Notamacropus eugenii: one gene and its partner. The protein of the gene in region 2 binds, or shares a complex with, the protein of the main gene of each other region. Links are inferred from orthologs where the notes say so. Each region holds a gene or a part of one and is shown on either strand. Other genes may lie near its edges.

Evidence for each region.
Region 1: PIGA (region 2) and PIGP share a complex: the UniProt entries of both Homo sapiens proteins name them as parts of the glycosylphosphatidylinositol-N-acetylglucosaminyltransferase (GPI-GnT) complex. The link is inferred for Notamacropus eugenii from reciprocal best matches to the Homo sapiens genes PIGA and PIGP.

Annotation. Positions count from the first base shown.
Region 1 is NC_092876.1:420,365,638-420,381,709, forward strand, and holds the start of PIGP (phosphatidylinositol N-acetylglucosaminyltransferase subunit P), read right to left. Parts: upstream 7,735-16,072; 5' UTR 7,646-7,734; intron 7,600-7,645; exon of another isoform or gene 7,432-7,599; intron 7,284-7,431; exon of another isoform or gene 7,073-7,283; 5' UTR 7,051-7,072; coding exon 6,969-7,050; intron 1-6,968. Other genes in the region: E3 ubiquitin-protein ligase TTC3, read left to right, coding at 9,219-9,293, 13,518-13,563, 13,864-14,014, 15,154-15,238. UniProt on the Homo sapiens protein: Part of the glycosylphosphatidylinositol-N-acetylglucosaminyltransferase (GPI-GnT) complex that catalyzes the transfer of N-acetylglucosamine from UDP-N-acetylglucosamine to phosphatidylinositol and participates in the first step of GPI biosynthesis.
Region 2 is NC_092876.1:374,800,787-374,817,353, reverse strand, and holds the start of PIGA (phosphatidylinositol N-acetylglucosaminyltransferase subunit A), read right to left. Parts: upstream 6,833-16,567; 5' UTR 6,405-6,832; exon of another isoform or gene 5,237-6,404; intron 3,522-5,236; 5' UTR 3,480-3,521; coding exon 2,741-3,479; intron 1-2,740. UniProt on the Homo sapiens protein: Catalytic subunit of the glycosylphosphatidylinositol-N-acetylglucosaminyltransferase (GPI-GnT) complex that catalyzes the transfer of N-acetylglucosamine from UDP-N-acetylglucosamine to phosphatidylinositol and participates in the first step of GPI biosynthesis.

The DNA of each region.
Region 1 (16,072 bases), about 46 Mb from region 2:
CAGGTAAATGTTTTGTGGAGTAAGAAATCAGCAGCTAGAAGGATCAGGAAAGAGTTAATTGAGAAGTGTCTCTTGGGCAGAGTTTTGAAGGAAACAAAAGATTCTAAGAGGCCATGGGAAAGTACAAGAGCCTTCAAGGCCTAGAGGACGGTGGGTGCAAAAGTGTAAAGGAGACAGAGCATCATGGGAGAAGCAGAAAGAAGATCAGTTTGGAATGTATAATGTGTAATAAGCATGGAAAAGGTTGGGCTGTGAAGGACTTTAAACACTAAAGAGACACAACTTATTTCCTAGAGGAAACAGAGGTGCCATTCCAGTTTACTCAGTAGAAGAGTGAGATGGTCAGACTACTTTTGTAAAATCAGTTTGGCAGCTGTGTAGGGGGAGAGGTGCTACTGTAATCCTCAAGGGCTTAAAATAGAGTGGTGGCCACATTAGGGGAGAAAAGGGAATGGTTGTGAGAGATAATGTGATTGCATAAACCCCGGACTGATTTGAGAATGCAGACATTAGTCTTGGACAAATGGTAGCAGAAGCACTGACTGAAGTTGCTGGCAGCAGCAAAGACGGGAATTGACATTCCAGTTCTTATCCAGGTGAACAACCACTTATCTAGACTAATGGTGAGAAGCAGAGACTTGATTAGAATGCTCCAAGTAGCCGAAGGATAAGGTCAAGGGCTAGCCTGACCTAAAAGGGTTTATCAAGTCTGTCAAAATGCTGAAACTAATATTGACCTAACTAATGAGTCAAAAAAAGTATAGGACAAATACTCAACTCCAATTATCTTGATGCTATTTACCTATTCATGGTTGGTTGGTTGGTTGGTTGTTGTCCTTCATTCCCGAAGAGGATCAAAAGGACATCACCATGATAAAGTGAAGTTTCAGTGTGTCGGACTGTGGCTGATTAGACCTATTCATGGTACCGTGGGACTAAATGAGTGAAGATGCTTTGGCTGCCAACTCAGCTGAAAGAACACTCAGGAACTATAGACAAAGACAGAACCAAGGACAAATCTGTCCTGCCTGGAAAAGTAATGAGGCAAGGGAAAGGAATATAAGCTGGTCTGATAAATGAACATCACCATCAGAAGAAAGAGATATTCCTTCTGTTTTAAGAATGGAAGAGATCACCAGATACAGGCTATGTGCACCATAGGAAAAAAATGTAACTTTGGTGGTAGAGAAGTTGAGAGCTATAGAATTATCTTAAAAAAAAAAAAAAAAGAAATAGGGTCAGGGGAAAGAAGTCACTGTAGTCCCCTAAAACAATAACCATTACTCTGGCAGCCTTTCCTAATATGTTTTTCTTACCCTTATACTAATGTGATACTAGAATCTAACTTTTCAGCCACAGAAGGGGGCTTTCCTAAGGAAGCCACTATAGTATAGTGAGACGGTCCTCCATCTCCAGCTGGTCATTTCTCCTGAGGGAAGGCAGCAAGAGGTTAGAGAGTGTGACTACCATCTGCCTCAAAGTGACATCTCCCTTCATGAAGAGACTCCAACTTCTGCTACAACAGTCTGATCTACAGCCTCAGGTAAGAGAAGGATCCAGCCCTTCCTCTGGCCCCATGCCATTTTCTGCTCTGATTTCCCCTGAAGTCAGGCTGCTATCTGTGCCAGCACAAGGCAACTTTCACATCTTGCTACCAGACTGATTTTCCATTAGGGATATGGAGAACCTGTGCTGCAGTCAATCAACAAACATTTATTGAGCAGCCAGTATGTATTAGGCACCGTGCTGGAAACTGGGGATAAAGAGAGAGATGAAAGACAGTCCCTGACCTCAAGGAGTTCACAGTCTAAAGAGAGACAGCAAACCAATAAATATACACATATAAGCTACACACAGGTGAACAGGAAGTAACTAAGAGAAGGAAGGCACTGGAATTGGGAGGGGCTTTTACTCTAGCTGGGGCTTAAAAGGCATCTGGGGAAGCCAGCAGGAGAAGACGAGGAGGGAGAGAATTCCAGGCATGAGGGACAACCAGAGGAAATGCCTGGAGCAGAGACGGAGTGTCTTGTTTGGGGAACAGCCCAACAGAACTGCATGGAAGAGCATGTGGCTGGGACTAGGTGTAGGAAAACTGGAGGAAGGGGAGGGAGTAGGTTATAAAGGGCTTTGAAAGACCAACAGAGAATTCTGTATTTGATCCAGAGCCACTGGAGTTTATGGAGTGGGGAGAGGGTGATTTGTTGGACCTGTGCTTTAGGAAAATCACTTTGATGGCTGAATGGAAGACAGTCTGAACTAGGAGGATACTTGAGGGAGGCTAACTCACCAGCAGGCTACAAAGGGCAGAAGATAGGAAAGGATCAAGTGAGAGTTTTTTTCAATATGGGGGAGACATAGGTGTGTTTAGATAGTAGACAGGAAAAGACTGAAAATAAGTGATTCAGTGATGATGTCAGGAGAAATCTGTTGGAGGAGATAAGAAGGGATTACTTGAGCAAATAGAGCAGTTAGCTTTGGTAAAGAGTAAGGTTATTTCATCATGTGAGTCAAGAGTGAAGGAAAAGATAGTGCCAGAATGCGTATGAGAGATATGAAATGAAGAGGAGTGAAGCCATAGCAAATGGCTTCAATTTTTCTGAAAATGAGGCAAGATTCTTATATGAGAAGGTGGAGGGAGGGGAACCATGGGAGGCTTGAGAAGACATGAAAAGGTTTAAAGAACTGCTCTGGAGAGTGGGATACTGAGTTCATAATGTAGGCATAGAAGGACCGGCTAGCAGCAGTAAGTCACAACTGAGGTTGTGTAACAGATTTCTAGGGGACCTAATCAGAATGGTTGTCCAATTTTCTCCAGCTTTGTTGGGCAACACGTGTAGCAGCAAAGGCTACAAATGACGGGAGTGGTCCAAGGCTAAAGCTTGGCTGGGAGTAATCAGTGATATGACACAGAGGGTAGGGATTCAAGAGAGGAGGGGAGTGTAGTGTTGAAATGGTTCACCATGGATTCAAGATAAAGAGAAGAAAAGACTAGCTAGTACAGGGGAGAAATCTGGCCAGTAAACCCCAAGTTAGCTGGGCAGCTTCTGGCCATCAAAATTTACCTTCCTTTGGAGGGGAGAAGGAGAGGGAGAGGATGAGGACGAGCTGAGTTGCCCAATTGGCTGGGTCCCCATTTAGGCAGCTCAGTCTACTCACAGGTTGTGTTTGTCCTTCGCTTTCAAAGAGGACCATGACATCAGGGAAATGATGACATGACTTACAGTTGACTTTGATTTGAGTGAGGGTCACTCTGAAGTTCACAGATTGGACCACAATAGGTCCCCACCCAACCTCCACATAACAGCTGTATTGGGCCTTCCTGGTTCAGCATCAATGTCAATGGCAACTGTTTCTCTTTGGAACAGCAATCCTAAGGGTCTTCCTCTCACAGCTTGATTTTTTTTCTTTCTAATTAAAGGGGCCATCCCTTGATTCATTTCTTAAAGAGGCCTATTCACCTAATGGGCATTACCTCATTCAAGGTGAGAACCTGAAAAGGCCTTAACCATTGCATTCTGGGCCATCTCCAGTTGTCCTGATGAATATCTGGCCACTGGACCCAGATGGCTCTGGAGGAGAAAATGAGGCTGGTGACGTTGCACAGCCCTCCATCACTGAAGTCAAAGTCAAATGTAAGTCATGTCAACATTTCCCTGATGTCATGGTCCTCTTTGAAAACAAAGGACAAATAAGACAACAACAGTTGCCTGGAGTCAAAGTACTAGGTTCACATCCTGGTGCTTATTACCTGTGTGATCTTGGGAAAGTCACTTAACCTCTCTCAGGCTCATTTCATCTCTAAAATGAAGGTGATGAAATAGATGGCCTACATCTATGATTCTATGATCTTGGGGAACACCAGCTTTGAAAGTTGCATTGTGGGTAACAATTAGGAAAGCAAAAATTAAAACAAACAAATGTAAAAGGAAAAGAAAGAAGATGAATGTTCTTCCCTTTTCCATGAATAATTCTTTACCAGGAAAACTTTTTTCCTAGAACTAGGGTTCCTAACCTGTTTTGTGTCCCTTTTGGCAACCTGATAAAGCCTCTGGACCACTTCTGAGATAAATGTTTTTAAATACTTAAAATAAAATACAAAGGACTGCAAAAGAAACACTGCTAGTTGGGGTTCATGAACTACCTTCTGTATCTGTGTGCAAAAAGATCTATCTAAGCTATGTGCTTCAGCTGCAAGTTGCCATCAACTACTCTGGTGGGTTGAGGGTGGAAAGGAGAGGTGGAAAAAGGGAGAAATTCCTTCCATTCCCCTTCCTACACTCTGAAAGAAGAAGAACAGTGCTGAAGATCAAGAACATGCATTGGTCTATTATCTTACTCTTGTTTTCTGATGAAAGAAAATCTTTGGTTTTCTAATAAAATTTCATCCCCATGAACTTCAGTCATCCAAAGCTCCCAATTTCCTATCTGCAAGATCCCTGTGGATTCTAAATGGAAAGTGCCCTTTCAATTTCTCTACTCCCTATCATCTCATTAAGTTAAATGAAGAACTCACCAAATTAATTAGATTCCCTAAGCAGCTTTATCTTATAACTCTAAAACTTCAGAAGGACTTAAAGCATTCTACTTCTAACAGTATTCCGGTGAGATGGTCAACCAAAATGATAATGGCCTAAAAGGTCAAAAGAATTGTATTCCTCTGGAATGGGACATTTAAGCAATCTCACAAGTGAGGCCCAGATCCCACTGTGGACAGCAACTAGTCAATGCTGTGCAACTGCTCAAATTGCAAACTTTCGATTGTAGACTAGAGATCTCCATAACCCCAGATTTCAAACACTGTCTATAAAGAGTTATGGTTCACTTTGCAGAACTGACATGTTTCTGAAAAGGTCTGCAATTTAGTTTTTGTAAATATTATCAGGTCCAGATGTGATTTCATCACTGTGTGGAACTCCCTGTTTAGAAATTAGCCATAATGCACTACCGCAAATCAGTAAATCAGCAGTAGTTGATCTCAGCAAGCTGCTGGGGTAATCTGAAGGCAGGTGACTTACCCGCTTCCTCAACTAATATGCATGAGAGGCAGGATCAATCCTCTAAGCAGTAATGCAAAATGTCTCATGGTAGGTTTTGTTTGTGTTCGTCCTTCGTTTTCAAAGAGCATGTCATCAGAGAAATGATGACATGACTTGTTTTGAGCGAGGGCTGCACAGAGCAACAATGACTATTGATCATCACTCTGAAGCCAGGAGGGTCCAGGAGAGAGAGAGAGACAGAGACAGAGACAGAGAGAGAGACAGAGAGAGAGAGAGAGAGAGAGAGAGACAGAGTCAGAGACAGAGAGAGAGACAGAGAGACAGAGACAGAGAGAGAGAGACACACACACACAGAGACAGAGACAGAGAGAGACACAGAGACAGAGACACAGAGAGAGGGAGAGAGAGGGAGAGAGAGACACAGAGTCAGAGACAGAGAGACAGAGAGAGAGAGACACACACACACAGAGACAGAGACACAGAGACAGAGATAGAGACAGAGAGAGAGAGACAGAGAGACAGAGACACAGAGACACAGTGAGACAGAGAGAGGGAGAGAGGGAGAGAGGGGAGAGAGGGAGGGAGAGAGGGAGAGAGAAAGAGAAAGGAAGGAAGAAAGGAAGGAAGGAAGGGAGGGAGGGAAGGAGGAAGAGAGGAAGGGAGGAAGGGAGGAAGGGAGGAGGAAGGAAGGAAGGGAGGGAGGGAGGAAGGAAGAGAGGAAGGAAGAGAGGAAGGGAGGAAGGGAGGAAGGGAGGGAGGGGAGGGGGGGAGGAAGGAGGGAGGGAGGAAGGAGGGAGGAGGAAGGAGGGAGGGAGGAAGGGACGGAGGAAGGGAGGGAGGGAGGGAGGGAGGAGGGAGAGAGGGAGGGAGGAGGGAGAGAGGGAGGGAGGAGGAGGGAGGGAGGGAGGAGGAGGAGGGAGGGAGGGAGGAGGGAGGGAGGGAGGGAGGAGGAGGGAGGAGGGAGGAGGAGGAGGGAGGGAGGGAGGAGGGAGGGAGGGAGGGAGGAGGAGGGAGGGAGGGAGGAAGGGAGGGGGGAGGGACGGGAGGAAGGGAGGGAGGGAGGGAGGGAGGAGGGAGAGAGGGAGGGAGGAGGGAGAGAGAGGGAGGGAGGAGGAGGGAGGGAGGGAGGAGGAGGAGGGAGGGAGGGAGGAGGGAGAGAGGGAGGAGGAGGAGGGAGGGAGGGAGGAGGAGGAGGGAGGGAGGAGGAGGAGGGAGGGAGGAGGAGGAGGGAGGGAGGAGGGAGGGAGGAGGAGGGAGGGAGGAGGAAGGGAGGGGGAGGGAGGGAGGGAGGGAGGAGGGAGGAAGGAGGAAGGAGGGAGGAAGGAGGGAGGGAGGAAGGGAGAAGGAGGGAGGGAGGGAGGGAGGAGGAGGGAGGGAGGGAGGGAGGGAGGAGGAGGGAGGGAGGGAGGAGGGAGGGAGGGAGGGAGGAGGAGGGAGGGAGGAGGAGGGAGGAGGAGGAGGGAGGGAGGGAGGAGGAGGGAGGGAGGGAGGAGGGAGGGAGGGAGGGAGGAGGAGGGAGGGAGGGAGGAGGGAGGGAGGGAGGGAGGAGGAGGGAGGGAGGGAGGAGGAGGGAGGGAGGGAGGAGGAGGGAGGGAGGGAGGAGGAGGAGGGAGGGAGGGAGGAAGGGGCCTGTTCACCCCACGTTGGCTGGGCATCCTCCGGCCATCCACGTTGGCCTTCCTGTGAGTGCCTCAGCTAGGTGCGGCGGGTATGCGCAGGGAAGGGGAATGCCCTAAATGAGACGTTCCCAAGCCCACTCCACACAAGGGGCCCGGAGGTCAGGGGCTGCGGCTCACGCAGGTAGCACCGCACGGCACAATCTCCACGTCCCTCTCCGTGCCCCACAGACCCTAAGGTGACACCAAGGTGCAGCAGGCTGGACCCTACCCCGGGGTGTCACCAGCTCGCGGTATCACCCCGAGGAGCCTCCCGGCCGGTCTGGACCCGGCGCTCCGTCGGAACCGTACTTACTGAACCCGCACTGGGAGCTCAGGAACAGGACGAAGCCGTAGATGGCCCTCTCCGGCAGCGGGGACGGGGAATTCTCCACCATAGCCTCCGGAGCGTTGGGGAACCTGAGGGCGGGAAGCACCAGACAGCGGGTCACTCGCCACTGACCCCGTGCAGAGCGTGGGTGCGCCCTCGGCCCTTCCCCTCCCCCGGACCGCCTCGGCTCGCCCCGCTCGTCCTCCCGTCGCAGACCACGTACGGCGGGGATCTCGGGCGAGGCTCCGCGGCTGGAGCCGGGCTCCCCCGGGGTTGCGCCTCTTTGGGGCACCTGCAGGGACACGGGGGCCCAGGGCACGTTTCATTTTCTCCCGGGGACCCTGCCTTTCCTTCCAGGGTTGGGGCTGGGGGGGTTCGGGGGCGCCGCCGCGGAGGGGGAGAGGCGAGATCACAGCAGGGGGCCCCTTTTCTCTGCACTGTGACGCACCAGTTTTCCTGCCTGCCGGCTTCGGAAGCTCTAGGCCAAACCTGTGTGCGCAGGTGCCACCCAGGAGGCCGGGGAGGAGAGGGAGGGGGGCTTTTCTGCTCCGGGCGCCGGGATTCTGGGGCGGGGCGGATTGCGGCAGAGGGGGCGGGGAGGAAGGGGGGAGAAGGAAGAGCGGGCGCTGGGGCGGGGCCAGGCGCGCCTGCGCGCTGCTCACGTGACGGCCGGCCTCCTTCCTCCGTCCGCGGCTCTCCCTCCCCGCTCTGGAGGTCAGTGACGTGGTCCTGACGGTTGCCTCCGGACTGAGACCTGCTTCTGGACGTGGACGCGGATTAAAGCTCGCTCGTGGCGTGTCCGGTGAGTGTGTGTCCGTGTGTCTGTGTGTCCGTGTGTCCGTGTAAGGATGCGTGTACATCTGCGCGTCTCTCGCCTCTGCCAGCCCGTGGCCTTCCCGCAGCCAGTGTTGTCTGACTTGCGTGTCTGCACACACCCTTCGTGCGTGGATAGGTGCCCTGCGTGTGTGTGTCCGGCATGTCTTTGTGTGTGGCACGCGCGTTCTTTCTACCTGCTCTTTCCGTCGTCGTGCCCGTCATCCGCGCCCCCCATCGGAGGCTGCCAGCGCCGTGTTCCCCAGCCACTTGTTATTGTGTGCCCCGGCCGGTCGTCTGCTGACAGGAAATAAGCCTGCGGCCAGCCCGGCTGCCATTTCCACCCCGGCCCCGCTCGCCTCCCTCCCTTCCCCGTCCACCTCCGCTCCCCCCAGGTGAATACTGAGAGACCCGGCAGGGCCTTTCCCGGCGCGTCCGGGCCCCTCTCGGGAGCCCCCCGGGGCCGGCCGCGGGATGGGAGGGCTGGGCTCCGCGGCTCCCGCTCCTGCAGCCCGGCTCCGGCCCGCCTGGGCCCCGGCCCTCGGGTCTGTGACTGCGTCCTGGGTGTCCGTCACCTGGGCTCCTCCCGGGCCCCTCCTGCCCCTCCAGAGAGCCGTTGCCACCACCGTGTCCTAGGAAGGAAAAGGGATTAAGGCGCCGAGCTGACCCCCTTCCACACCTGTGGACGTGCCCGGAGGAGTTGTTTGGTGGGCAGGACTGCCCCGGGTAGTTCCTGGTCCTGATCGAGCTCCTGTCGTGTTCTGCGTCAGAGCGAGCTTCTTTACGTTTTCGCTTTATCCTACAACCAAGTGGTTTTCCATTACATTTGTGTGGTTGACCTGTATGGATCCCTTCTTTCCGTCTTTGACTTTATCGGGGGGGGGGGGGGGGGGGGGGGGGGCGGGGGGCGGTGCCCGGTGTGAAGTGTCTGGATTCCAGGGTGTGAACTTTTTTTATCACTTTCTTCAGATACTTTCAATAGCTTTCTAGAATAGTACCCGTTCACAGCTCCACCAACAACGCATTTTGGTGTTTCTGCAGTCCCTCCAGCATGGACTGTCCTTTGTCATCTTTGCCAGTTTGATAAGAATTAGGATGAAGGTTATTTTGATCTGCATTTCTCTTAGTCTGGTGCTCTTTGGATCTTAACTGGAGTGTATATGGAAAATCTGGTTTCCTTTACAATTTCTCATATTTTCGTTTCACTGGAAGCCCAGAGCTGAGATTTGAGCATGGATCTTCTGCCTCCAGAGCCAGTGTTTTTTTTTCACTGAAACTCCCCTCCACCCACTTCAGGAACTGTAAAAATGAGTGGCTGTTTCTATTGTTGTTTTGATTGTGACAAAGATAAGATTCACTTTCATAATTTGTATTGTTTACTGATTTGGAGTTTGTTTTTATTGGCCTTTAGGATCATGCGCAATGGAGAATTCCATCTCTGAGGCAGATTTAATTGGCAGCAGTTATGTTCGCATTACTAAACTTTGCTGTGAACAGGTGAGTTTTTTTAAAAAATCAAATGCATTTTAAAGTTCATATTCAAAGCCAATGTGTAAGTCATTCAGAGTGATTTGTGATGCCATCTGTGCTTTTGAAGAGAAAGCTGAAAAAGGGAAGGAGCTGCCCAAAAAGAACAAGTGTGTGAGATGATGGAAACTAAAAAGGGAGGAGGATGATGGTGATAATAATAGGTAGGATTTATATAGTCCTTTACACTGAACCTATATTGTTTCGTTTGGTCCTCACAACAACCTTTGCAGGTAGGTGCTGTTATTATTGCCATTTTATAGTGCCATTTTATAGATAAGGAAATCAGGGCTGAGAAAAGTTTAACATGTCCAGGGTCACAAGGCTATTAAATGCCTATGGTGAGATTGGAATCCAAGTCTTCTTGGTTCTAATTTCTACATTTTGTCTACTTCACCTCATTATTGGTGAGGGTGTATGTTGAGGGTAGAAATTAAAAGTAGCTTTATGTAGAAGAGAAGTTTGGTTCATATGGCAAATCATTATAAGAAATCACATTTTTCCTTTTATCAGCCAGTTATTAAAATCATTGATCCTCTCTGATGAGAACAGATGAAATGATCAAAATAAGAAATTCCCAATAGGAGAAAAGAGTGAGAGGAAGAAAGGACAAGTGACATGTTCTACTTCCTAGCTTGTTTTTCCTGATCCTCCCCAGCTGTGGTGGGGCCCATCCCATATATACTTTGTTGCAATCTCCCTTGATAGAATTGTAAGTTATTTGATGGTATGGACTACTTCATTTTTATCTTTGTATTTTTTACCCTTGTATCTAAGCCCTGAGATAAATTACTGTGTGTTTGATTGGTACTTGACTTTTTTGATAGCTATATTCAAGCAATGATTCCAGCGATCTCTTATTGTGGACTTGCATTCTGTTGCTGCAGGATTTACAGAACTATTGCAGGAGCATAAGAACTTCCAGAGGTTCTTATTTAACACTTTTCAGTGTGGAATTTGGATCTCTGAAGGCTTACTTCACTACTTATAGGATCTATAATTTTTTTTCTCTTTGTGGTTGATACTTCATTCTCTGATTCATATTGCAGCTTTTTGATTTCTCTTGGACAATCTCTGAAAGGTGATTTTTTAGCTAAAAACCTGGTTTTAAGCTCTCCAAACTTAAGCTAAATGTCAGACTGCAGATGTCTTTTATTTGGTGGGAAGGTAGAGTCTGTGATGTGTTAGCCTTATATGTGTTAGCATGTGAAAGCCCTGCGCCACTTCTATAAGAGTTCAGTAGAGGAGCAGTGAATATAAAAGAGATCTTTGTTAAAAAAAAAATTAATAATGGATTCCAGCTAAGATGGATGCTTGACCTTGTCTAATAAAAGCCTAAAATTTACATCAGACCCCCAAATAATCAAATCCAATGAGAAACTAGAGTGATTTCTTTCATCCCAGAACTGCACAAAAATTCAGCCAGAAGCCCAAGGGCAATAGGAATAAAGGATACTAACAAAGCCAAAAAACTCATCCACAAGTTAGTAGCTTCCCAGAATAACCAGACCCGGGCCACAGTCACATGTAGTCCGCTTGACTCTTGGTCTGGAAGCAGGGAAAGCAGTGAGGTCACCCAAGAAAGTCCCCAGGTGGGCTCCAAGATTCATAACATTCTGTTCTGAGGAGCAGTAGAGGGCCTTGAAGATCCAGTGTCTGAACATCAAAGATCTGGGACAAAGAGGGACAGTCCCAGTCTTGGAAAATAGATATTTAACACTAACTCAGGAACAAGGATAAAACCAAGGAAGGTCAATGAGCCTACCCAAGAGTACAGCGGGGGGAGAACCCTGGTCCTAGCACAAAGCTAGAGTGATAACCCAAAGAAGCTAATGTAAAATTAATATTAAAAAAGTTCCTGTTCTAGAGATGCCCCCAAATCAGACTTAGAACCACAAATGACTTAGCTGGCATAACTCAGCATAATTCTATAGAGGAAAAAAATGAAGCTTCAGTGGACTAGATCAGAGTTGACAAACTTTTTCTATAAAGGACCAGATAGTAAATATTTTTGACTTTGTGGGCCAATAGCCAAATTGAGAGTATTCTGTAGATATTTATATAATGAGAAAACAAATTTACAAACAGTTTTAATGGATGAAATTCAAAATATAATAACATGTACAGTTAGTTTATTTTGTAATACAGATCAACTAGTGAGAAGAGTGAAATTCTTTTCTAGGGGAGATGATATTTCACATAATTGGAATTCAAAGCTATTACTCCCTGTCATCAGAATCAGTTGCAGATGTTTATTTGTTATTGCTGATCTGTAATGGTATTTTATGTATTTCATCTTTGAAAATGGCTTTTCACACAGATAGGTACTGCCAAATACTGATATCAGCCTATGAATATATACTGTTTAACATATTTGGCTCTTGGAAGACATTTATGTAATCCTGTTAGATTCTTGATAGTTGCCTTTTAGCAAGTCATTACGTTGCATATTAATCACTTCCAATTGAAGGTTGGTAAAAGTTCTTCATTTGCACATTTAAATGAACATATTGAAATTTCTTTTGTATTTGTATCAAGTTCCAATGATGGAACTGTAGTTTGAGCTCAGGAAATACATTCACTGCAAATTTGTATTAGAATGGAAATCTTGTCTCTTAATTTTAAACAGTGTGGAAAGTATATGAAGTAACTTAACATTACTTGTGATTTAAAAATATTGTTATTAAATTGACTTGATTATAAGTTTTGTATATAAGCACTCTTTTGCCTTGAAATTTTAGGTCGAATTCATTAAGAAACATTGTCAAGTCTGCAGCAAAAATTAATTTCCACAGCCATTCAGTGTTTGATAACAATGGTTTCTTGTTCAGAAAAACTTCAGTCTCAACCCTGAGCTCAAAAAATTATAATAAAACATTTTTCTTTTTTTCTGTTTTGACATAATAGGCATACAATGGTAATGAAAAAATGTTGAAATATGGTAATACAGGTGACACTTGAAGCAATGTCAAATTATAACTACGTCACAACAGTTTGTTGTGATCTGAGTCCCTGTGAGATGTAATGAAAGTGCCATATAGGATCTCTGTTACCACTACTTGACTATGGTGTTTTATAATTCAATGGCATTCATAGACAATATGTAATTAAATGAGCATGTTTATGTTATAGTAAAACTGTTTAAAAGTGTAAAAAACTATTCTTAGCTCACTAGACATACAAAAAGGTTTTGATAATTTGCTGATCCCTTGACTAGAAGACTTAGTTCCAAGCATTTCTGATGAAAAAAACAGAGCTGAGTAGGAACTTTGACATATAAATTTATGTCCAGTGAAACCTAGAAAGTAAATTTATTTGAGCAGTTGCAAAGGGTTGTATGATGACATAGTACTAACATATTGATGGGAGAAGAAGCAAGTGTCTGTTTCTTCATAAGAAAGTGCCTTAATTTCTTCATAAGGTACTGAGGAAATAAAGTAAGAAAACAGATCTTGGAGGTGGATTGGCTCTGAAAGAAAGGAAAAAAAAGTGAGAGTAAAAGAGAAGAAAGAATTGCGAGCAAAACAGACTTCCTGATTAAAAAAAAAAAAAGAATTAGAATCTGATGGGGTACCCAGCAATTGGGGAATATCTTAACAAATTGTGGTATATGAATGTATTGACATGTTATTCTACCATAAGACATGGTTAAAGAGACAACTGCCATGAATCCTGGGTATCATGAGCTGAGCTAGGAGAAGACAAATCCCTATTTTTTGGTGTTTTAAGTTCAGAATAAAAAATTCCATAATAATGCAATAATAATTTTTAAGTAGGACAAGAAATGTACTATGTTGGCTGTAGCTAACTTTGTTGCATTTCTATTTCTCAGAAGACAATAATGTGATAGATTAAAGATTAAGATATATATGTAATCAGAATAGAGACAAATGAATTTGAGTTTAACTCATTTACGTGACAGGTCATAGTTATATTTTTAACCAAAATTGGGTAATTTAAAATTGTAGAAGGGAGCATGATAGCTACTGGAAAAGAACTTGGTGACTGGTAGATTGAAAGAAGTGACCTTACCCAGAAGTTTACAGATTAAAACAGCACATGTTATACTGTTTTGTGTAGCTTTTTATATTTGTATTTATTTATTTACATATATTATATTTATAGCTTACCAGTCCAATTGAATATGCTACTATGTTTTTACCAAAGAGCAACAAAACATGTTTTCTTTTTCAGGGTGGTGCATATCCTAGAAAATTTTCACAAGTTAAGGCAAATCTAGGTGAGCAATTTAGCACTTGAACCTTTATTTTTTCACTGATGGTATAATAGAAGAATTAACAAAATCTATTCATGTTCATGTGTGGTGTTATGTTTCTTTAAAAATTTTGCTCCTGTAATTACTTTGAATTTCAGAATTTTTTAAAAATAACTTGCCAAAAAATCTTAAACAACCATTAGTACTTCTAGCATATTGATTTCCTTGTCATTTTCTAATCTATGCTTTATGTTCTCATTACCCATGCTTTTTTCTACTGAAAACGCCTAGCAATATTAATTTAATTTTTTTTTTTAAATAAAGAACTGGATATCTGCAAAATCTGGTGTAGTAAGCCACTTCATATTCTTCGAGATTACTGTGATGTCATTAAAATATACATCTTCTGGCCACTTCTTTTTCAACGTGAACAGAATCCTGTAGTATCTCAATTACATCCTTGTATAGACATCAGGTAAACAAGTCTTGTTATTTATGTGGTTTTGTTGCTTTATTTGTCTTTTAAGAGAATATTATGTTTTCCTGAAAAATGATTCCTAAAAGTAGAAAAAAAGCTTGAGATAATGTGTTTCATTTACTTATTTCCAGGTACAGTTAGATATCTGCTCCATTTCAGTAGTTAAATAAATTTACGCATTTAAATTTAAACACATTAAACAAAATATATTTAAATATCTACATAGAATTAAGGACAGAGATTATGTAACTCATTCATATGTTACTTAGTAACTGTCACAGTCTTGTATTTCTTCTTTTATGGTTAAAATCCTTATTGTACCTTAATGCCATTTAAAAACTCTATCAACTGTTTAGCATCCTGTTTTTTCTTAATCCTTCCCTTCCTTGAATGCAGTGGTGATTTATTCAATTCTACCTCCTTAGCTATTCTGTCATTTTAATCATTTTTGTGATCTGGCCTTGACAGTTTATTCACATATTTCTTAAAAGAAGACCAAAGCTGCATTCGTAACCAATAAAAGACATCACCAGTGCCAAGTATGGCAGAAGGATTGTATTTGGACTCAGGGGTGGGGCGCCTGTGGCCTCAAGGCCCCATGGGGCCCTCTAGGTCCTCAGGTGCAGTGCTTTGACTGAATCCAAACTTCACAGAACAAATCCCCTTAGGAAAAGGGGGAATTTTTGTTCCGTAAAATTTGAACTCAGTCAAAAGGCCACATCCAAGGACCTAGAAAGCCACATGTGACCTTGAGGCCAAAGGTTCCCTGTCCCTGCTTATTTCATATTCTTCTACTTCAGTCATTAGATACAAACTGTTAATCTCTTAAAGGTTGATTTCTAACCTATAGTTCCAAATATTTGAAACTTACAGTTCCTCAGTCATAAAAAAAAATAAGATTGAGGATTATTATAATAATTAATCATCAGTACTGTGTAGAATGGAGAGGAGGGTGTCCAATAGTTTGCTCAGTTATGAGAATCAAATGAGATAAACTCTATGAATCACTTTGTAAACCTTAAATGTTATGTAAATGTTAGCTATTATTATATACAATTGAATTTTAATACAAATCTTCAGAATCAGGCAATATAAAACCTTACCCATTTCTAAAACAATTTTTTTTCTTTAAATAGCTCTAGTACTTGTGAATTAAGTTTGAAGAGACTGCAGCATATTGAATTACTGGAGGATATCGTGGATTTGGCAAAGAAAGTTGTGGTAAGTGGCACTTTGGGGGTCCACTGCAAGGATGCTTAACTCAGTGAGCTTTGTTAGGCCTAGGTCTTTACAACCTAGTGTGTCTCTGACAGTAACATCAATCTCCTTTTATTTTTAACCAAGTTATGCCTCCTTATCATCTCTATGTAGGTGATTCTCAGATATGCTTATCCAGCCCTAATGTCTCTGCTGACCTCCAGTCTCACATCTCTGTCTCAAACATCTCAAACTGGATTTCACACAGATATCTTGAACTTATTATCTTTCCTCCTTTGTTCCAAATTTCTCTCTTATTATTGAGAGCAACACTGATGTTCTAATCTCCCAGGCTTACAACCTAGGTGTCATCCTTGACTATCTCTCACCTCATACCATGGCACCGACCCAACCCTGTTGATTTTCCCTTTGCAACATTTTGGATATACCCCCATCTCTTCTCTGACACAACTTCCACCCTGGTTCAGGCCTTCATCACTTCCTGTCAGGACTATTGCATTTAGCTTTCTTTTTTGGTCTTCCTATTTCAAATTTCTCCTCCCTCTAGTCCAGGGGTGGGAGACCTTCAGCCTTGAGACCACATGTGGTCCTCTGGGTCCTCAAGTGCTGCCCTTTGACTGAATCCAAATCTCACAGAGCAAAGGGCCACATTTGAAAACTTAGGTGACATGTGGCCTCGAGGCTGCAGGGTTCCCACCTCTCCTCTAGTGTATCCTCTACTCAGCTGTCAAATTCATCTTCTTAAAACACAGGTCTAACAGTGTTACCTGCCAATTCAATAAACTCCAGTAGCTTCCTAATACCTCCAAGATGAAATAAAATGTCATCTGTTTAGCT
Region 2 (16,567 bases):
ACCTTTAAAAAAATATTGTATCTTTAAGTTTATCAAATTTCTAATGATCATGCTCACACAAAATGGGACATGGAAAAAATTACATATTCAAATTCATTTTAAATGAATTGACTCAGTTTCCCCCCTCAATTCAAGTTTCCCTAAATAAATGGATGTGAATCAGAAGATGTGTGGCTTCACACCTGGTAAAGTGCCATGAGGTTCTGATTACTATGAAGGCATTCAAGAAATGTGAAGGTCAGATAATACATCTTTGACCTGGCCTACCTAATTTCATATGCTACAGAAAGTGCCTCTCAGGATTGCTTCTCTTGTCATTCACTGAGGCAATTTATTTTTTCTAAATAGTCAATACGGAAAAATCAACTGGCCCCACTTATAATCTACTTAACTTTCAAATCCAAAGTGTTCCTCCTGAACCACCACGCCTGTTATCTCCCTCATCAGAATATAAGCTCCTGAGGACAGTCCTCTTAGCTACTGGTACTATTCTACTGCCTAGGTAAAGGCTTAATAAATCCATTTTCATTCATTCAGTCATTTACAAAATTGTGCAGATACTTTCTCTAGTGGAGATACGGACATTAATTTTCATTAGGTTGCTTATATTGAAAAGGGTAATTTTAATTAGATCACAGACTTTCACCTCCACTCAGCAGTCAATTTGATGTTTCTAAAGCATAGATCTAACCATGTTACGTGTCTATTCAGTCTAGACCTATGGCTATCAGGATGAAATATAAAGTCTCCTGTTTCTCTTTCAAAGCCCTTCACAGACTGTCTCTCTCCTACTTTCCGAGCCTCGTTCCACACACTTGACAATCTAGACACCTGCTGTTTCTTCTGGCAGGCTAGATTCCATCTCCAAACACTAGGCGCTTTTACAAGAAGCCATTCCTAACCCCCCTTCATGCTAATCCATTTACTGATCATCTCCATTTTATCCACTCTATATCATCTACACATACTTGTTTATGTATGATCTTTCCCGTTAGACTATAAGGTCCCTGAAAGTAGAGACTGATCTTTTGCCTTTCTTTGCATTCCTAACAATAGGAATGTCCAGCATAAAGTAAGCACACAATAAATGTTTAACCAGTAAGTCACTGATGACTGACTTCACTCCAGTGGCTAGTTAGTTCACATTTGGTTAAAATATCTTAATGAGGATCAGGGCCTGTTAGCTATGCTATGTAGGTCGGTTAGATATTCTCTGTTCTATGATAATACGCTCATTGCACTTCTAATTCTATCTAATCATCTCACACAAGCATCCTATTGTTCCAAAAGAGAACTGGCAAAAGAGTATAAATGAATCAGAAAGCTATTGTGCTACGATGGGGGAAAAAACAGCACACATCTTACTTAAGGTATGTCAACATAATAAAAGAATGAAAAAGAATAAATGTGTGAGATGTTACTGTCAAGTAAAGAGCATTATTCACTAATTCCGTGCTCACCTTACCTGATCTTTTAACCTTGCTGTAAGAGCTTCAATGCCTCAGATCAAACCTAGCTGATTGTGTATCATTAGGGCTACTATCAAAACTTGGTTTCAGAGAGAGGGACAATGTACACCTCCTACTCATCTAGGGCTAGGGAGGAACTGATCCTCTCTAGCTTTATTTCAACTGAGAAAAAATTCAGTTGGTAAGTTTACAGTATCTAGAAATCTTCATTTCTACTCTTCATCTCACACCCACAATCACAAATCTGAAAGAAACCTTAAAAAACATCTACTTGAAGAAAAGCCTTTACCATCTAGCCCCAAATATTCCTTGGGTTTTCACTGAACTTTCATTGAATCCTGCACTGAACTTACAGGTACAACCTTTTCTTGGTGGTCTCGACAGTTGCTCTCACATGGTCTGTTTTCATCCATGTCCTATTTCTATATCCCTCAATTCCCTTTGATGCTCTACACTACGTGCGACTGAACTTCACCTTGTTAGCATACAGGACAGTGGCCATGAAGAGGCCTTGTACAGAACCAATAATTGACACTGACCAGAAACAAATGGCTTCTTTTTACTGTACCCTGACCAAGTTTTTCTTCTCAAATCATCAGCAGATTAATCTAAGACAAAAAAGAATCTAAGGCTAAGGAACACAGACGCATTTCCCCACAGAGATTATCTTTTGATGACTCATATTGAAGAGAGAGTCTCTCAGAATCCAATCTTACAATTTTAGAACACATAATTTAAGTATACAGTAATAATACCAATGATTTTCACTAACAGCAAGGTTTGCTTCTCCCATTTCTCATACTTTAACCTTATAAAATACATACTGCAATGAGAAGTGGTATCTTAAATATTATCCAAGTAGTATTAGCATAGTTATAATTACCAAATTCTGAGTTAAACTATGTAAACAGTATTTTTTAAAAAATATTTTCAAAACATGTTTTTTAAAACATTCACCCTCAATTTGAAATAAATATGTAACTTTGCCTACTGGATTTATAAATTATTAATCCTCCCATTACTATTTAATCAACTGCAATCCTATGGAGGATTTATGGACAGAGATGGACAAGAATCAAACATGCAAGAGTTACGATCTATCTCAATTGAGGAGATATTCAATTTGTAAGATCACAGATGTACCCAAAGTATGAAAATATATAAGCACATATGAAAACAGTTAAAAAGCAAAATAATTAACTGACATTAAATAGACTATTACAGAAACTTCTCTGTGAATGGCAGTTTTAGTTTACAATTTCATTCATTACCTTTTCTGTAAACAAGCCTGCTGATTACAACAATAGTTATTACACTATCATCCCTTCTAAATGGGTCTGGAGTGAAGTCAGTAGGATCTACAGCATTGGGGATGACGGATACTATTTCAGGATTCAGTGCTGCTCTTAGAACAGTGTTTTCCTTGCTAGTATAAGAGACACAAATTATATGATTTGTATCACAAAGAGATACAGTTAGAAGTTTGTTTGTAAGCACCGAGCTGACATCAGCAAATCCAAAAAGAGAATGGTCTGTGAAGACTGTCTGTAGACCCATTGTCTTGGCGTGGAAGAGTGCATCATGGGCCATGGCAGAAAAAGAACTATGTGAATGGATTATGGTGACTCTCTCCCGAACAAATATGTACCTGAGCAGAGGCAGACTATGAAAGAGGGTTGTTGCTGTAGACTGATTGTACATGACTTTTAGCGGTAAATAATATACTTTGAGGCCACTGGTAAGGTATCGAATACCTTTTCTATTTCCATAAGCATGGGTGACAATGATGACTTTGTGTCCTCTTTCAATCAGACACTGAGATAGCTGGTATATGTGGCTTTCCACTCCTCCCATATTTGGATAAAAAAAATCAGACACCATGCAGATATTATGTGCTCCAGTTCTATGCAGTTGATGGATTCCACAGTCAATATGAGAGGGTTTAGATGTGATGGACTGTTCGTGCCCATTTACTCTTCTATATGCCATATTAAGATGAAGTTTAGTCATCAGTCCTCACAGCAGTCCACTGAGACAGAAGCCATTTGTTACCTGGTAAAGGAAATAAAAAAAAAACAAAACAAAACTCAAGCAAAATGCATTCCAATAGATACTTTTACATATATGTATATACCCTAAATGGTGCTGTATTTACTATTTACTTACCCTTTTCCTAGCAATTAAAAATTATATATACTAAATAAACCTAAGTGGCAGATAATGACTAGTGGTTAACATAGCTAAGTATAATGCTATTAAGACATAAAAGATAAGTACCGAAAAATTATGAAGTGCCATGTATAGTACAATAAAGCCAATTCATGACAGGACAGATAGGTGATGTAGTGGATAAACTGCCTGACCTGGAGTCAGGAAAACTCATCTTCCTGAGTTGAAATCTAGCCTCAGATAGTTCTTAGTTGCGTGACCCTGGACAAGTCACCTAACTCTGTTTGCCTCAGTTCCGCATTTGTAAAATGAACTGGAGAAGGAAATGGCAAACTACTCCAATATCTTAGTTAATACCTTTGCCAAGACTTAAATAGGGTCACCAAAAGTTGGGTACAAGTGAACAATTCCAGGTCCATTAATATAAATAATAATTTTTAAATGTATTTTATCTATATTTTTCCTTATCTCTCTATACTTTTTAAAAAATATATTTTAAATTTATCATCTGTTTTAGCATTCATTCTTTCTAAATGTGGGGTTCTAAATCTTCACCCTCCCTCTCACTCTTATATGACATCAATGTGAAATCACACAAAACATATTTCCATATGAGCCATATTTCAAACAAGAAAAATAAAGGGAGAAAATTATACTTTAATTTGCACTCAGAGTTCATCAGTTCTCTCTCTGTAGGTGGATAACATTTTTTCATCAAGTCTTTTGGAATTATCTTGGATCACTGTTACCATTCTAGCCATGTCTTTCAGAGCTGACTACCATTACAGCGCTGGTCTTACAATACACTATGATATGCCAATTCTTCTCATTTCACTTTCCATCATTTCATACAGTTCTTGCCATGTTTTTCTGAAACTACCAACGTCCTCCACCTCATCATTTCCCACAGCACAACAGTACTCCAACACAATCATATGCTACAACTTGTTTAGTCATTCCCCAACTCATGAGAATCCCTTTGATTTCCAATGCTTTACCACAAACAGAACTGCTATAAATATTTCTGGACATGTAGTTACTTTCCATTTTTCTTTGATCTCTTTTGGATACAGAACTTCTAATGGTATTGTTGGGTCAAAGGATATGCAGTTTTATAACTCTGAACATAGTTCCAAATTGTTTTCCAGAATAGTCTGCTCAGCGCACTAGTTCACCAATAGTTCATTACGGTATCTATTTTCCCTCATCCCCTCCAGCATTTATTACTTCTAAAAGATGTGAGGTGGTACCTCTATATATTAAACTTTAAAAGACATCCATTCCTTTCTAGAAAGGCTTCCACTCAGGCACACTAACTTGCCTCTGCATGATTGTAATCTTGGTAGTGCATTAATTAAACAAAAAAGGAGTCTAAATTATGTGATGGTTAGAGGCCCAGGGCCCATGGATGCAGTATGGAAAGCCAACCATACACATAATCATTTCATTTAATCAATGCCTCATGCTCCTTTTTACTCCTAGGTTGATTTAGTTATTTTTTCTTCTTTTGTTCATTAAAAGGGCCAAGAGCCATCCCCTGACTACTTCTTAAACAAACCTATTCACTCAATGGGCATTACCTCCCTCTAAGTGAGTACCTGAAAAGGCCTGCCTAATTAGGTCAAGGTCTCCTAATTGCATCCTGGGCCATCTCCAGTCTTCCTGAGGAGTATCTGTTCACGGGATCCAAGACAGCCCAGGAGAGGAAGTGAGGCTGGTGACCTGCACAGCCCTCCCTCACTGAAAACAAAGTCGAGTGCAAGTCATGTCATCATTTCTCTGATGGCATGGTCTTCTTCAAAAACGAAGGATGAACACAATAACTTTCAACAATTCCAACTATATTTTCAAACCTTATTTCTAAATGTTCTGGCCCATTCATCTGACCATTCTTCTATATAACGTGGAAAGATTTAAAGTTTAGAAAGTTAGGGCCTGCTCGTCCTCCTGTAGTTCCCACTTTTCAAAGCTACACCAGTCCCTGTTTCAGATAACAGGGATATCACGTCTACGTAACACTCGAGGGTTTGCAAAGCACTTTCCACCCAGATTTCTAAGGCGGATGGTGAATCAGCACCGTGACGTTCTTAAGTTAGACGGCTTGCTCAGGGTACCCTAGGTCCTGAGCGTGTGAGGGAGGATTCCCTAACTCCAAACGTTCTGATACAAACGCCTCCCCACAGTCCTCCTCGCCCCATCCCCAGAAAATAAAAAAAAGAACACATCTGCGAGGAATTCTGAGCTATTTTGTAAGGAGCTCCACGCCGTCTAACAAATCTCAGCGCAGGACCATCGTGACCTTCAATCTTTAACTTCCTGAGCAGCAGACGACCCAGCAGAAGCGCTGGGCAGGCACGGGCAGGGGGGGCGCGGAGGCCCCGAGGAGAAGTTACTTCCACCGAGCACCGCCGTCGGGGGGACAGTGGGGGCAAGAAAAGTGTACAGGAACCGTGAGTCTTCTCAAAGGCTCAGGAATCTCTACCAGGGGGCCCTGACTCCACGCTTCCCTTTAAAAAGGCCCCAATGGAGCTCAGAAGGACTGCCACGAAGCCCCATGGGGGGCCCACCTCCTCCCGGGGCTCGGGACCCTCCCGACTCCCACTTCCGGGCCGCCCTGGGGTCCGGACTGGATTGGCCCCCGGAGCCGCCCTCTCTCCCACCTCCCAATGCCCGATTCGGGGGCAAAGGCGAAGCTCGGCCTGAAGCTGCCAAGCACCTCAAGGCAGAGGGGTAGGAGGGAGAGGAAGGCGGCCGACAGACACTTACTCCACGAATGCCACAGCAGAGAGACGTCCAGCCCTCCCACGGCCACCGCCATGGCTCCGCCCACCCCCCGGGAAGGCGGGCAGCCGAGGCTTCCGAGACTCCGCCCCGCTAAAAACCAATCGTCACGCGGCCTTTGGGTCACGCGACTCCCGGGACGCGGCAGCCGAACCCTTTCTCCACCCCCTCGGAGGGCACCACGTGTCCCGGGGAAGGGTAAAGGGCAGGGTGATGACGTCATGGCGTGCTTTCGCCACCGCGGCTGCTGCTTTCTTGTAACTACCACAGCTACAAGAGGCGAATTAATCCTTCTCAAACCAAGGCCGCGTTATCCGTGTCTTGGAAATCTCTTGAGTGTCCTGGAGACTGTCCCTGATTTCTCCTAACACTTTTTCTGGAACTCCTCCTGCCGAGAGCAAGACTACAATCCCAGAGTGCTATGCAAGTACGCTTTGTGTTTTCTGGGAACTGTAGTTCAGCACTCGCTTGGCTCTGCAGCTGCTAGTTTAGACCTGTAAAAAACTACCAGTCCCAGTGTGCCTCGCGCTCCAAGTTCCTCCCTTCAGGGCGTAACCCGGCGTTGGCTCTAAGGCAGCTTCCCTGGAGCGTTGCCTAGTTACAGTTTTTTGTTTCTTGTTCAGTCCTAAACGTCAGCCCAGTTTAGGGCGAGCTTGAGAAGTGTCGATCAATAGAGGCTTATGGTAGATTAATAAACCCAGAGTGCCTTCGAGATCACAAAATCGGTCCACATCCATTTCTTTTTTTTTTTTTCAGTATGCTTTTTTTATTATTATTATTTTTTATTTTTATTTATTTATTTATTTTTTTATTAAATTTATTTATTTAACTTTTAACATTCATTTTCACAAAATTTTGGGTTACAAATTTTCTCCCCTTTTATCCCCTCCCCCCCCAAACACCAAGCATTCTAATTGCCCCTATCACCAATCTGCTCTCTCCTCTATCCTCCCTCTCTGCCCTTGTCTCCGTCTTCTCTTTTGTCCTGTAGGGCCGGATAGCTTTCTATACCCCTTTACCTGTATTTCTTATTTCCTAGTGGTAAGAACATTACAGTTGATCCTAACACTTTGAGTTCCAACTTCTTTACCTCCCTCCCTCTCCACCCCTTCCCTTTGGAAGGCAAGCAATTCAATATAGGCCAAATCTGTGTAGTTTTGCAAATGACTTCCATAATGGTTGTGTTGTATAGGACTAACTATATTTCCCTCCATCCTATCCTGCCCCCCATTACTTCTATTCTCTTTTAATCCTGTCCCTCCCCATGAGTGTCGACCTCGAATTGCACTCTCCTCCCCATGCCCTCCCTTCTATCATCCCCCCCACCCTGCTTATCCCCTTATCTCCCACTTTCCTGTATTGTGAGATAGGTTTTCCTACCAAAATGAGTGTGCATTTTATTCTTTCCTTTAGTGGAGTGTGATGAGAGTAAACTTCATGTTTTTCTCTTACCTCCCCTCTTTATCCCTCCACTAATAGGTCTTTTGCTTGCCTCTTTTATGAGAGATAATTTGCCCCATTCAATTTCTCCCTTTCTCCTCCCAATATATTTCTCTCTCACTTCTTGATTTCATTTTTTTTTAAGATATGATCCCATCCTCTTCAAATCACTCTGTGCACTCTGTCTCTATGTATGTGTGCGTGTGTGCATGTGTGTGTATGTACTCCCACCCAGTACCCAGATACTGAAATGTTTCAAGAGTTACAAATATTGTCTTTCCATGTAGGAATGTAAACAGTTCAGCTTTAGTAAGTCCCTTATGACTTCTCTTTGCTGTTCACCTTTTCATGGTTCTCTTCATTCTTGTGTTTGAAGGTCAAATTTTCTTTTCAGCTCTGGTCTTTTCACCAAGAAAATTTGAAAATCCTCTATTTCATTGAAAGACCAATTTTTCCCCTGCAGTATTATACTCAGTTTTGCTGGGTAGGTCACATCCATTTCTAAATAAATTATGCAATAATGACGTCCCATTCATTCACCAAGACGACCCTTCAGTTCCTAGAGGACCATTCAGGGCTGGGAACTTAGAACCAGACTCTTCCTAAAAGAGTAGCAAGGTGAGGATGGACCCCTAGTAACACCAGACTGGAATATCTCTATCTGCATTTCGCGTTAGTGGTGATCTCCACAACGCCTTCATTAGAGCGAAGGCTGCATGGGGACTCAGGTGCCCCTGTCCCGTCTGTCTCCCCCTCCCCTCCCTTCTCCTCTCCAAAGGAAGGTACGTTTGGGTGGCCAGAGGATGCCCAGGGAACTTGGGCTAACTGGCTCGATCCTTCCCTTCCCTTCCCCCTCCCCTTAAACCTGCTCTGAAGCCCACAGATTGTAACACACGAGACCACTGCCCCAGCTCCACTTAAGGGCTGTTTTCTAGACCCTCCTGACTTAAGACTGGTATCAGTGGGAACTGTTGCTGTTTTCCTCCCAGCCTGAGGTAGTTATTTTTTCTTTGCCTTATTAAAGGGGCCATCCCCTGACTACAGGCCTGTTCACTGACTGGGTGTTACCTCACCCTTGACTGCATTCTCGGCCATCTCCAGCCGTCCTGATGAATATCTGGTCACTGGACCCAGATGGCTCAGGAGGAGAAAGTGAGGCTGGTGACCTTGCAGAGCCCTCCTTTACTCAAAAGGAAGTCAAGTGCAAGTCATGTCATCGTTTCTCCAATGGTATGGTCTTCTTGCACAACAAAGGATGAATGCAGAGTAATTGATGCCACCATGGGATGAGCTGGAATGAGAAACCAATCTTCAGCAACATCCTTGGAACAGCTCCTTTCAGGGTCTCTTTAGTTACCATAAAGGTTGCCTCAGTATACAAAACCACTTGGAATATTTATGGAGTAGTAATGGGTGACTGCTTTCCTACACCAAAAAGTCTGAAAGACAATTTTTCTCCCTAAATAATTTTTATTTTTTTTACATGAGAAATTTTACTTGGCAAACACCAAGTAAAAGCAGCATTTCTGTATACAAAGTAGGGCAGTAAAAGAGGATTGCGTTTAAATTTCTGTTATACACAGCTTGCTTTTGTTATTGCTGTTGATTATAGTCTTGTTTTCCCCCTAAGGACTGCATGCCAGAAGTTTTGGGTTATTATCTCATTATTGTTACTTTTTTTGATGTCATTATCAATTGTTTCTCTGATTTGTTCTTTGAGCCCCCCTTCCCTCAAGTTTTTGTTGATTATAATTTTTATTTCATCTTAGACAGTAAAGGTCTGATAATTCAGCTTTTCTGCATTTGTTTATGAAGCTTCTGTTAAGGGGTCCCCTGAACTTGGCTTTTTGAGTTGCCATTTTTTCGAGTCACTACATCTGGAGCGCAGGAAGACCTGAATGTGTCAAGGAGGAAACCCTACCCTCGTGACATAATTTGTTGTTTGCACCCAAACTGGATTCCCTGTGTGTCCTTGGGAAGCAAGACAGTATGTATCACCCTGGGAAAAATGCTTGTGCACCTGAGGTCCTTTGCAGAGATAAGCAGACCCTCCTGTCTTCATAGTCAAGCAGTTCCCAAGGGAAAAGAATTGGACTTTCACCATTTCCTTGGTCCTGCCCTTTTTACTGTACCTTTCCCCTCCCTTACCATGCCCCTTCCTGTTTTCTCTTCCCCTTTGTTGTACTCTCATAAATATGCAAAATTCTGCAAGGACTATGACCTCTTTGGGTTTCACATGCATGTTCATTTCTCCTGCAATAACCCTAGTTTTCACATAAGTCTTCTGATGTTGTGATTGCCTATTGACATTTCTGTGCCCTAATGTGGGCTGGCACAGTGGATAGAGTGCCCAACTTAGAGTCAGGAAGATTCAGCTTTCTAAGTTCAAAACTGGCCTCAGACATTTACTAGCTTTGTGGCCCTGTGCAAATCACATAACCCTATTTGCCTCAATTCTTCATCTATAAACCAAGAAGGAAATGGCAAATCATTCCATTATCTTTTCCAAGAAAACTCCAAATGGGATCATAAAGAGTCAGACATGATTGAAACAAGTGAAAAACAAGTGGTCTAATATATGCAATGTTTTTGTAAAGGTGCTAAGCTCGGTTGAGAAAGATGTAAATTTCTTTTTAATCCCATTAAGTAATTGTTAGACATCTATCATACTTTACTGTTATAAAATTCTATCAGGTTCTAACGTTTTTGGAAGTTATCTTTTTTTTTAGATCTTTTTTCTTTTTGGTTTAGGTCTGAAAGTGGGTCATTGAGATCTCCAACTATTATAATTTTACTGTCTTTTTCTCCCTATAATTTATTAACTTTCTATTTTCACTTTAGTCTCTGGTTCTAAAAATTCTGTGCAGTTCTTATTGATTACTTCTTGGTATCCAAGCTTTTTGGGGGGTGCAGGAGTGGGAATCAGCACAGTTATGGAAAGCCATGACTTTTAGGAAATTTGATGATTCTTAAATTATCTTTACTTGACCAGTTTTGAGATCAGCTGTTTTGATCTTATTACATTTCATACATTCTCTACTATCTTTTCAATTATTTATTTTGTTCCAGTACTTCTTAATTTCTCATAGTCATTAATTTCAACTTGGTTCATTTAAATTTCATGAAGTCTGTTACTTGGTGGGTGGGAAAAGTGTTCTGCAGGGCCTCCTCCACATATTTTTCCTTAAAAAATATTGGAATCATCTTTAAGGTTTAGTTTAGGGACAAAAGTCCTGGACTTGGTATAACTTCCTGGTGAGCTAAGTACAAAAATCAGCAGGAACTGGACCCCAAAGAGAGGCAAGAAAACTACATGCAACTGAGTCAGTGATCTATATTGGCTGCCCTGCTTTTAATATCCTCCTTCTGCTATAACTAATTAAACCTCCTTTTGTTAATTGTCAGAATTCTACAAAGCTTTCATTTTGTTCCAGTCTTCATCTCAAGTGTCCTAACCAGCATAAGTGAAGCCTGGCCTATTATGCTTGGGTTGGGTTTACCACTTACTGTTCTAAGTCACATATTCTCTTGATATGCCTTTCCTCCAAAGATCTTATTTCATTTATAATTTCATCTTTTAACTCTTCCTTCATTTCTTCTAGGAACCCTTGTAGACCTTGTGGATGAGCAGTTTTTTTCTCTAAGTCTCTACTTCTACTCGTGGAGTTTGTTTCTTCTTCTATATTAGACTTTTGGGTATTTCTGGGACAACAATACTTTTGTATTATGGTTAATGTTTTCTTCTGTTTACTCATCTCTCTCAGTTTCTGAATTAGGGTTTTGTGGCAGAGCCAGGTTCTGTCATCTGTATTCTTGGCGGGGATGGTTGACCATACTTAATCCTGATGTCAATTACCTGATCTCCTGCCACTGATTTCTACTTCTGGTATTTCTGCACTTATAATGTTCATGGATTTCTGGTGCCCCAAGATCATAGTGGTTCAGAGTTCTAAATCTTCAGGAACTTTTGGTGTGTCTTAGGTCAGAGTGCTGTGGACTCCAAAAACCTATGGAATGTCCTGTCTGAGTACTGCCATCCAAGTCTGAGTCCTGTCGGCTTCTGACCCACATTCATGATCCAAGGTTTCTGACCTCCCTATAGCTTCCTCATCCAAACCTTCCAATCTTCCTCTCTCCAGGTAGAGATTGCTGGCTTTAGGAGTTCCTAGAACATCTCAGACTTCCATTGGGTATTTTCAACATACTTTTCTGGGCATTGTTTTTTGGTATATTTTTCCTCTGGAGAATGTCAACAAAGAGAACATATCTAGTTTTCTTAACTTTTGCCTCTGAAGGCTTATCCATATTTATCCCAGTTGGCTTCCAGTATTAAGATTCAGATCTGGATATGCTAGTGTGAATTATCTTTGGTTCACACTGACCAACACATAATCCTGGCCTCCCCCTGGGGCAGAGTTACATTATTTCCCATGTGAATGACCTCAGTAACTCATGTTAGTTATGAGCCAAACTAAGTTCAAATCTATTGTACAATAGGACCAGAGGTTTGATATGAACTCACAGCTACTGAAAAGGATGGAGCTTTTGGCTTTATGTCACATTTGTTCAGTTTTTTTCAGTCCTTTCTGATTATTTGTGATCCCATCTGGGGGTTTTGTGACACCATTTGGGGTTTGCTTGGCAAAGATACTGGAGTGGTTAGCCATTTCCTTCTCCAACTCATTTTACAGATGAAGAACCTGAGGATTAAATGACTTGCCCAGAGTCACACAGCTAGAAGTGTTTGAGGTCGCATTTGAGCTCAGAAGGATGAGTCTTCCTGACTCCAGGTCCAGCACTCTATCCACTGTGCCACCTAGTTGCCCTTATGTCACAGACAATCTCCATACTGCCCCATAATGTACCTATGTTATTAAAGACTTGCCTTTCTAAGGTTGCCCAACCTTTAATTGAGTTTTTGCTTGTCAATCAGGACCAAACATGAATATTGCTTTCCTAGTATTATTTCTCTTTTTGTCCTAGCGGTGTTGGATGGAGCCTTCCATAACCAGTACATAAGTTTATTCTCAAGCATATTTTATTATTATTTCCTAGTTTATGCTTGAGCCTTTACAGTTTTCTTCTCTTTCCCAATTCTCTTCATTGCTACAGTCATATTTTTATACGCTGGCTAAGGAAAGACGAAAAAAATCAAAGAAAGTTTGTATATTTGGGAGTTAAGAAATTTTTAAAAATTACTATTATTATTATTAAAAATTATTATTTTCTCTCTTTGAAGTCCCCATAGATCCCAAACTGTGCTGCACTGCATTCCAGAGCACCATAGTGAAGTCTCAGGGGTATCACGGGATACTTTACACTTTTAAGGGAGACACAGTGATATTTGAACATATCAAATAATGCTCTACTATCTTGAGGTAGTTCACAGTTTAAACATTAAATCATGTTACCTTCCTTTTGATAACATTCTCAAGTGTTTGAGATAGGTTTTTGTTTATTTGTACTCTCAAATATGCCAGTAACTTTTTGAATTTTCTCTTTTGAAGCTGGGTTTTTGGCAGTTGCTTTGATTGGAAAAAAAAAAAAGTAAACAGGAAATGTGTGTGGTGATGTCCAGTCTGATGCCAAGAAGTTGTGCAGTGCCCAATAAACACACACATCCCATCAGTAAGTAATTGTAATTATCAAAAATGAAAGAAAAATTGTCTTTTAATTTATGGGTGTTTTTTTAAAATGTACTAAGATGTTACCACATGCATCCTTACTAAGTTGTTTAGACCTAACTACTTAGAACTTTGGTCTATGGGTACTGTGAAAAAAATTACTGAGACATCAAAGGTAACATGAACTAAGAAGTTTGGGAACTTCCAGACTACATTTTACAGTGAAGTCCTTCAGGATTATACTCTACAAAAAGATAGAAAATATTTCATATGACTATCCATTTTGACTTGTTACTTTAATACTGTTTCATGTAATTAAAAATGAAAGACAGAATAGATCATTGATCTGTGATTCTATAAGAAAGATAGGGAAAACTATCAGGAATTAGTAAAGCTGAATAGAGAGATAGATACATATATATTTGTTTTTGTTTAATTTTTGAGATAGATATCTACATATCTACATATATAAATTAAACATATATAGAAAGAAGAGAGAAAAACAGAGTTCTGTTTAATTTTTTGAGACTGGATTTCCCCATCTTGCCTAGGGTGAAAGTTCAGTGACCATTCATGGACCTGATCCCAGTACTATTTGGCTTACAAGCTTTAACCTGCTCTTTTTTTCTCACTCTCTCTGTGCTGGTTTGCAGCTTTATGCTTAGGCAGCCTACACTCCTTTCACTCCCAGGGGCTAACAATTTTGGCACCAGACTTAATGCAATTACTAATCGACTTTAGCCTCACTCCAGCACAGAACTCCCAAATTCAAATGATCTACCACCTTCAACCTCCCCCGGCAGTCAGGATTACAGATGTGCACCACCATGTCCTGCCAGCTGATATGATTTTGAGAAAGTCAAACATTAACCTTTATGACCAAATCACACCCTTTATAAATCTTTCTGTGTCATATTTAATGGGATAAACTGCCTACATCAACATTTATTGAGTTATGGAAAGGAGCAGTATAGAGAGTTAAAAAGAAGTGGGAAAAACCCCACAATCTTTTTTTTTTTTTTTTAAATTTATTTATTTAACTTTTAACATTCATTTTCACAAAATTTTGGGTTACAAATTTTCTCCCCTTTTATCCCCTCCCCCCCCAAACACCAAGCATTCTAATTGCCCCTATGACCAATCTGCTCTCTCTTCTATCATCCCTCTCTGCCCTTGTCTCCATCTTCTCTTTTGTCCTGTAGGGGCAGATAGCTTTCTATACCCCTTTACCTGTTTTTCTTATTTCCTAGTGGCAAGAACATTACTCGACAGTGGATCCTAACACTTTGAGTTCCAACTTCTCTTCCTCCCTCCCTCCCCACCCCTTCCCTTTGGAAGGCAAGCAATTCAATATAGGCCATATCTGTGTAGTTTTGCAAATGACTTCCATAATAGTTGTGTTGTATAGGACTAACTATATTTCCCTCCATCCTATCCTGTCCCCCATTACTTCTATTCTCTTTTGATCCTATCCCTCCCCATGAGTGTCGACCTCGAATTGCATTCTCCTCCTCATGCCCTCCCTTCTATCATCCCCCCCACCCTGCTTGTCCCCTTATCCCCCACTTTCCTGTATTGTGAGATAGGTTTTCCTACCAAAATGAGTGTGCACTTTATTCTTTTCTTTAGTGGAATGTGATGAGAGTAGACTTCATGTTTTTCTCTCACCTCCCCTCTTTATCCCTCCACTAATGAGTCTTTTGATTGCCTCTTTTATGAGAGATAATTTGCCCCATTCAGTTTCTCCCTTTCTCTTCCCAATATATTTCTCTCTCACTGCTTGATTTCATTTTTTTTTAAGATATGATCCCATCCTATTCAATTCACTCTGTGCACTCTGTCTCTATGTATGTGAGCGTGTGTGCAGGTGTAATCCCACCCAGTACCCAGATACTGAAATGTTTCAAGAGTTACAAATATTGTCTTTCCATGTAGGAATGTAAACAGTTCAGCTTTAGTAAGTCCCTTATGACTTCACTTTGCTGTTCACCTTTTCATGGTTCTCTTCATTCTTGTGTTTGAAAGTCAAATTTTCTTTTCAGCTCTAGTCTTTTCATCAAGAATACTTGAAAATCCTCTATTTCATTGAAAGACCATTTTTTCCCCTGAAGTATTATACTCAGTTTTGCTGGGTAGGTGATTCTTGGTTTTAGTCCTAGTTCCTTTGACTTCTGGAATATACTGTTCCATGCCCTTCGATCCCTTAATGTAGAGGGTGCTAGATCTTGTGTTATTCTGATTGTATTTCCACAATACTTGAATTGCTTCTTTCTAGCTGCATGCAGTATTTTCTCCTTGACCTGGGAACTCTGGAATTTGGCCACAATGTTCCTAGGAGTTTCTCTTTTTGGATCTCTTTCAGGCGGTGTTCTGTGGATTCCTTGAATATTTATTTTGCCTTCTGGTTCTAGAATCTCAGGGCAGTTTTCCTTGATAATTTCATGAAAGATGATGTCTAGGCTCTTCTTTTGATCATGGCTTTCAGGTAGTCCCATAATTTTTAAATTGTCTCTCCTGGATCTATTTTCCAGGTCTGTTGTTTTTCCAATGAGATATTTCACATTATCTTCCATTTTTCCATTCTTCTCTCTTTGTTCTGTGATTTCTTGGTTTTGCATAAAGTCATTAGCCTCCATCTGTGCCATTCTAATTTTGAAAGAACTATTTTCTTCAGTGAGTTTTTGAATCTCCTTTTCCATTTGGCTAATTCTGCTTTTGAAAGCATTCTTCTCCTCATTGGCTTTTTGAACCTCTTTTGCCAATTGAGTTAGGCTAGTTTTCAAGGTGTTAATTTCTTCAACATTTTTTTGGGTCTCCCTTAGCAGGGAGCTGATCTGCTGTTCATGCTTTGACTTCATGTCTCTCATTTCTCTTCCCAGCTTTTCCTCCACCTCTCTAACTTGATTTTCAAAATTCTTTTTGAGCTCTTCCATGGCCTGAGCCCATTGGGTGGGCTGGGACACAGAAGCCTTGATTTCTGTGTCTTTGCCTGATGGTAAGCATTGTTCTTCCTCATCAGAAAGGAAGGGAGGAAATGCCTGTTCGCCAAGAAAGTAACCTTCTATAGTCTTATTTCTTTTCCCT